2 linked regions of the Oryzias latipes genome follow. The protein of the gene in region 1 interacts with the protein of each later gene in a pairwise test. Links are inferred from orthologs where the notes say so. Each region holds a gene or a part of one and is shown on either strand. Other genes may lie near its edges.

Evidence for each region.
Region 2: the proteins of cep44 (region 1) and aqp1 interact in binary tests that used the Homo sapiens proteins (3 or more experiments, as listed by UniProt). The link is inferred for Oryzias latipes from reciprocal best matches to the Homo sapiens genes CEP44 and AQP1.

Annotation. Positions count from the first base shown.
Region 1 is NC_019859.2:27,430,370-27,433,938, reverse strand, and holds part of cep44 (centrosomal protein of 44 kDa), read left to right. Parts: intron 1-243; coding exon 244-318; intron 319-530; coding exon 531-713; intron 714-2,613; coding exon 2,614-2,742; intron 2,743-2,805; exon of another isoform or gene 2,806-2,837; coding exon 2,838-2,936; intron 2,937-3,569. UniProt on the Homo sapiens protein: Centriole-enriched microtubule-binding protein involved in centriole biogenesis. In collaboration with CEP295 and POC1B, is required for the centriole-to-centrosome conversion by ensuring the formation of bona fide centriole wall.
Region 2 is NC_019875.2:28,339,741-28,343,525, forward strand, and holds aqp1 (aquaporin-1), read left to right. Parts: upstream 1-1,360; 5' UTR 1,361-1,422; coding exon 1,423-1,785; intron 1,786-2,152; coding exon 2,153-2,314; intron 2,315-2,448; coding exon 2,449-2,529; intron 2,530-2,709; coding exon 2,710-2,889; 3' UTR 2,890-3,285; downstream 3,286-3,785. UniProt on the Homo sapiens protein: Forms a water channel that facilitates the transport of water across cell membranes, playing a crucial role in water homeostasis in various tissues.

The sequences.
Region 1 (3,569 bases):
TTTAGAAATAGAGCAGAGCAGGGAACTTGTGGCCCACTGATTGTAGTTTCTTTGTAACAACTACAAGCTTTTGCCAACAGCATTTTTTTGTCTGTTCCTGAAGAAATACTCAGAAAATGCTAATTTAAGCTTTTTTTCTTCATACACGTCCTCCATCATCAGAAAATGCTGCACTAACATGTTAAAAACACAACTGTCATGCAAGTTTAAAGGACTTTTAATCTCCTTGTGTGTCTTTTGCAGCCCAAAGTCAGACGCCCTGTCTCACACAGTGATGTTGGAGTGGAAGGTCATACAGTAAACCCTGATCCTCCCAGTGTAAGGCAAAGTCAACTGACACGAACAATTAATAAGTGCTGTTCTTAAAGGTTATATGCAACTTAGCATTTGCAGTAGTATTTTTTCACTTTGGCAAAAAAGTCTTAAAATACTTGATTGTATGTTAAAGCAACTCTTCCCTACCTTTTGAAAATTCCAAATGATGATGTCAAAATTAAAACAAAAGATCAACATTTTTTTTTTTTTTTTAGATCTTCAGGGAGCCGTTTATTGTAAATCTGGCTAAAACTCCGTCCTCTATCACTGCAATCGCCTCCAGTGCAGAAGAGTTTCCGTCCTGTCCTCCTCATGCTGACGTGGATTCCTTCATTTCTTCTACAAATGAGATCACAAATGTACCAATAGCAGAGGAGCCCAGTGATGGCACTGTTTGTGTAAGTATTTCCTAAAAATAAAGGGGATCTCATCCATAACAAACATTGTTTTCCAGATTCAGTGTCAGTTTGAGTTGGTCTAGGTCATCTTTTCTGTATCTATATGGTTCAGAGGCCCCACAGGATTAGCAAGATGTTAAAAAGGCTCTCAGAGAAAAATGTCTTCTGACCAATGGAGGAATAGCTGTTTGTTTCTCTATAGGGAAATTAGCCTCTTGGAGCCAGCGGGTACTTCCTGTTTGGACCGTGAGGGGGGAGGGGACCCTCAGTCCAGTTCTCATTCACAGTCAATGGTCTGAACTGCTTGAGGTAGCGTGACCTTCAGTCACAGCTGTGCTTGAAACCCATTGTTGGTTTAACCTTTAATTCAACAGGTGATGCTAAAACAGCTTCTAGTAGAAGTTTTGGAGATGAATGCAGAGAAGCCAGATTGAGATAGTTTGGACACATGACAGGAATGTACCGTGACAATGTTTATAAAACGATTCGGAGGTTGGAGCTACCAGAAAAGAGGCCTAGATGAAGACCAACCAGAGGAGGTTCATGGATGAAGAGGAGGAGAACAACAGAGGGGTTTGTGTGAAGGAAAAGGTTAGATGAGATGTGGGGACCCCAGAGCAGTTGAAAGGCAAAAAAGTAGAATACTCCGTGGAAGTTTTAGCTGTCACCATTCACACTTTTATTGTTGTCGATAAGCTGTTTTTCTAGTACTGGAGAGAGCAGATGTTTTTATTCCCTGAACTTCAGCTAGAACTGACAGATGTCAAATCTACAAGAAGTCAATTTCATGTGTTGCAGCAAAGTAGCTAAATGTATTTATGCATCTTTTAACAAAAGCCTGCTGGGTTAGATTTTAGATTAAAACATGATTTTTGAACCAAATTAAAGCTAATAGCAAGACTCTGAAGTGTTCCAAAGCTGATGGGTGCTGAAACGCCTGTGAATGAACAAATGGGCTAAGCTATGCTGGAGATGATGTCATGGACCAACTTCAGTATCTTGAGTAAAGAAGAGGTCGCTGTTTTAAGTTCGGTTCAAAGCTACATTTTAGATTTAGATTAAGATTTTTTTTTCAATAGCGCTGGTTGGGGGCGTGTCCTCCTCGTTTCCACTGATCAGACACAGCTTTCCAATGTTGTCGTACTTCTGTCCACAGACTGATTATGCGGTGACCTTTATCCCATCTTATGAAAGCTCCAGGGTTTCCCACCCGGTTCTTATGTTGACGGCTGTGGAAGCATCATAGGAAGGAAGACGCTTTTATTCCTGTCTTCGTTTCCAAACAGGATTTCCTGGCTTGGTTTATCTACTGGATAAAACATGAACTCCCCATCTTTGTTTACACATTAAGCTGACAGGGCCGAAGCCATTTCCATTTACCAGCATTACTGACAGCAATGCTGTTTGGCTTTACACCATGAAAGCATGCAGACCAAAGGGCTGAATTCCACATACCTGGCATGTTCCTTTTGGCTGGACACACCTGATCCAGGTATTTAGAGGTAGGATATCTGGAGGACATGCTGTCACACCGGCGCTTTTTACCTGGAGTCCCCCACTTTGGATGTAGGCCTAAGACCCATCTCTTTAACTTGACTTTTTGCTGTCTTTCTTTCGTTCGTTTGTTCATTTATTTATTTGGCAATGTTGATCACCATGAGATGAAGGGTTGTAGGGGTGTGGAGATATTGTGTAATGGAGAGGGGATCTATTTTTTTGAATAAACTAACTTTTTTCTTATTGTTTATTCTAGTGTACAGCACTTTTTGTTATCAGATATGAAAAGTGCTATTTAAAAAAAAAAACAGATTTGATTTAAATATCAGTGGACTAAGCATCAAACTCTAGATTGTACATGTCTTTATCAATTACTAGTATTTATAGTATTCATGTCATTCAGTTATCGGGGATGGAGAGCAGACTCTCAGCGTTGGAGGTTCAAGTGAATCAGATTTTATCTCGGTTCAACAAGCTGGACATTCTGGAGAAACGTCTGGAGGAACTTGAAAACTGGAAAAGCACCGACAAGGTAAACTAGTATTGACTAAATTGAAAAGAAAATGACGAACTGTACATTTAACCTCATGTTTAGTTTGGGCCATCTTGCACATGGCTGAATTACAGGGGGACAAAGAAGTTATCACAATACCTCGAGAGAGCTGGGAAAACCTGATGGGCAGAGTTCTTCTACTGGAAACCAAACTAGACTTGAAAAATCCAGAAGTAAGAAACTTTGTTGCTTTCCCCGTTGATGCTTTGCATCCATGTCATTGCTTTTCGTGCAGTTTATCTGGGTGTCTGTCATGTGTTCACTTATTTGTAGTGCTGCCATTGGCAGGAAGTCTGTTTTCTCTTCTTAAAGTCCCACTCTGATCATCTTGTGTAAAAAGTGTTCCCAGTGGTCTTTTAAATCTGATGATGCAATTTTTAGCCAAAGTCACAAACCTGTGTGGTTTTCTAGGACGTAGTTTCTGCAGAGCGGCAGGTAATCATCAGAAATTTGACTGAGTTGTGGGCGGGACCATTGGCAAGAAGCAAGCCCGCCTCCATGTTCCATCCCCCATCTGTTTACGTGCTCCCCCACTAGCTTACAGCCCCTCACAACCCCAGTCTAACATTACTGGTTCAGCAAAAATGGCGAGACGTAAAGTGTCGAACCAGATTCCAGCTCAGACGAGGAAAACAAAGATGTTTATGGATCTATTTGTCTGCAAGTGCATGAATCGGAGTGGAACGGAGCAGCGACCCCCCCCCCAAAAAAAAAAATAAAGCTGGGTTTTTTTTCTTACATGAGTGAGTCTTTTACACAAGGCAAAGCGCGGCTGCATATGACAGTTGATCAAATACTGCAGCCTC
Region 2 (3,785 bases), on another chromosome or scaffold:
TCTGTCACGGCAACCATGCATAGCGTAGCGCTGCGGCGTGTCGCACAAGTCAGAAGAGTTAATAATTAAAGGATAATAAGTTTGACAGAACACTTTCCATTGTCTGATTTTGATGCTGTATTGAAACTTTAAAAATTAACAGATTCAGATGACTTCATAAAACAAAATGACAAGAACTGAAAGTTTGGATGAAGATAAAAGTGTTTGGCAGCAAAAATTTAAGGAGTTGAATACGAAAGAACAATAATAAGGAATATTTACACTTGAAATTGTACAAAACCTACTTTTATTTTACAAATTTGTTTTATTTTGCTGCTAAATTTGACTGATTGATTCTTGGTATTTACTTTTCCTTTTTAGTTCTGAAATTGTACTTACTACATATACAAATACCTGTGTTTCTGCATTGTTACTTGTAAAAAAAAAAAGCAATAAATCTAAATCTATTCTAAATCTAATCTAAATATGATGGTTATCATATATGAAAACTAATGCAAAAGTCCAGTGACAGGGTCATTTCTAAGAATATGTCATTTGAAAAGGATTTTTTCTATCAGATAAGCAGTGAAAGGGCGGACTGCCTTTTGTTGGAGTCCCTCTTTAAGTGGGGGGGGGCTCCAGAACAGGCAGTGCCGTTCATGGAGTTGATCATTCACTTTCTTGCTCAACAATACAACTAGTAATTGTGCAAAAACGTCAATCAAGTTAATAAATCACAGTTGCTCTATTAGAAATGGAAAAGTTCTACTTATGCAATTCTGATTAAAATATCATTTAGGACCTTTAACTTCAGTTTCTTCATTCAGTTACTTTTTTGTGCCTAAAATATCTTAATTGTATTACTTCATGTTGCTCAAAATTGGAGTAGAAGCCAGGGGGAATGTGGAGCAAAGGGCTGTTTGGAGCTGTCTCCTGCCTTCCTGTATGTTGTCAGTGATCCACGCTCACATTCGTAAGGCGCAAAATTGCACAAAATTGTCATTTAAGGCAAATTTCAGCTAAAAAACGCTTCCCTCTGCTCCTGGAAAGTTCTGACTGGGAGCTCTCTCTCAGTGGGGAGTTTCATTTAGAAACGCCGGTACGAAAGGACATTTTATCTTTGGGTACAGCTATTTAAAGACTCTGTTTTGCTATTCACAAAAGTCCAAAGACCGGAGAGAGTGCTGCACAGGGAGGTGCTGGGAGAAAGCTGGAGGACGGAGAGGGGAGAAGGGAGGGTGAGGAAGCAGAGGGAGGGATGGGAGAGACCGGCCTTTTGGGTTTCTCATTAGTTCAGCGTGGTTCTCCCTTTCAGTTTTTTTTTTTTTTTCTTTAAACGCCCGCCCACCAACCATTATCAGCACCGGCCTTATATATGCAGCCTGATGCTGTTGTTTACGATTACACACACTTTGCAGCTCAAACCGTCACACAGCCACCACCATGAGGGAGTTCAAGAGCAAAGATTTTTGGAGGGCCGTTCTAGCCGAACTGGTCGGCATGGCCTTCTTTATTTTTCTCAGCATCTCTGCAGCCATTGGAAACTCCAACAACGCCAACCCAGACCAGGAGGTGAAGGTGTCGCTGACCTTTGGATTAGCCATCGCCACTCTGGCCCAGAGCTTAGGCCACATCAGTGGAGCCCACCTGAATCCCGCCGTCACCCTTGGCATGCTTGCCAGCTGCCAGATCAGCGTCTTCAAGGCAGTCATGTACATAGTGGCTCAGATGCTGGGTTCAGCCCTCGCCAGCGGCATCGTTTACGGGACGCGTCCTTCCAACACCAGCGCCCTAGGGCTCAACTCTGTGAGTAAAACTTTTTATATCCCCTTTTCTTGACAGCAGAATTTGTTTACCTAAATAGGATGCACGACAGCATGGAGAGGTCGCCATCCTTTAAACGCACACCTGTCCACGTTGCATTTTAAGGACAGTGCATTTAAATGCAACGTGGAGAGGTGTGCAGGTAAAGGACGGCCCCTATAGACAGAACCACCGTTTTTTGTTTGGCAAAAAAAATCTATTAAAAACTTGTAGCTTCAGTGATTTTATGACTCTACTACTGCAATAATATGATAGCATCAAGATGTCAGCATAAAGCCAGTGAAGGGAAACTTTCCATTCTTTCCATTCCAATGTCTGAATTTTGTCCCCCCCCCCTAAAAACCCACAGCTTAACGGTGTCACCCCCAGCCAAGGAGTGGGCATTGAGCTTCTGGCCACCTTCCAGCTGGTGCTGTGTGTCATTGCAGTCACTGATAAAAGGAGGCGTGACGTCATGGGCTCTGCACCCCTGGCCATTGGCCTCTCAGTTTGCCTGGGACATTTGGCAGCTGTAAGTTACACCATCCCCAAAAATGTTTGTTCAAGATTGACCCCAGTGGATTTTAGTGTGGTCCACCAGGTGAATAAACCGCCTTTCATTGCTCCAGAATGACTTCATGTCTTTTTTTTTTTTTGTGATCATAGATCAGCTACACAGGCTGTGGCATCAATCCCGCCCGCTCCTTTGGCCCAGCTTTGATCCTGAACGATTTTACGGACCACTGGGTAAGTTGGAGGGAGAATGAGCCCCAGCAGACCTCAGACAGCTGAATGTGGGCTATTTAGCAAACCCAAGTAACTCACTACACACATAAGTTAATCAGTGTTTGTGGCATTTCTGTGACACAGTAAGGACTTGAACGTTACAAAGTCAGTGCAAAAGCTGATATGAGTTATCTGTCCTAGGTGTACTGGGTGGGCCCGATGTGTGGTGGTGTAGCGGCGGCTCTGGTGTACGATTTCCTGCTGTCCCCCAAGTTTGATGACTTCCCTGATCGCATGAAGGTCCTAGTCAGCGGTCCAGTGGGAGACTACGATGTAAATGGAGGAAACGAGTCTGCGACTGTGGAGATGTCTTCAAAGTAGCTGCAGTTGTTTTTTCCCCCCACGTCCTTGTAAATGTCTATACTAAAAAAAAAATCAATATGTACAAATTTAAAATTCAAAAGCTTTGAAATTTAGTGCAGAGTTTTAACGTTGTTTTGAAAAAAACCAAGGAGGATTGTCGTCTACGGGTCAGCTAGAGAGGCTGTCTAAAGTCACTCCTTTTATCAACGCAGCACAAGCTCTTTATCAAACCGCTGCTGAAGTTTGAAACCCCGGGCGGGACGTTTGCTGATCCTTTTTCTCCATATCAGTATTGTATGTTGAAGCCTATTTTGTATATTACCTGTTTCACTTATTCTTATTCCTGATGGATATTATATTGTGTGCACTCTTTTGTCTAAAGTTTTTTACGTAAAATAAAACACAATGTGAGAATTTGTTGTTGTCGTTTCATTTATTATTCAAATTTTCTTTAATGTTTTTTGTAATACTATGAATTCATCCCAAACACAAAAACTGCATGACATAACATGCAAAAAGTTACCAACAACCTGATAGAGTTCCTAGAAACACACAACTCTCAGCTGTAAGTTTATGATCTGTCAGATTAGATTATGCACGAGTGATTATGAAAATAAAACACAGCCAAAGAAATGATCCGCCTTACTCACGACTGCCCTTACGGACGGATACGGGCCTGCACAAAATTTGAGTGAACCTGTAGAGTGAAATAAAAAATGTTAATGAACATTCTTTTAGAGAACACTTATGCAACACGTAAGGGTGAAATAGGTGGGAAGCAGGTGAACGCTAAGGACTGCACAGGGAACCTTGTTGGTGCAATAGATAAGTGCGTGCTCCTTGCTCCTTGTCTAATCAGGAAATTAGACAGATTGTAGTTCATGTGGACATCTTACAGGGGTCCCACGGGCACG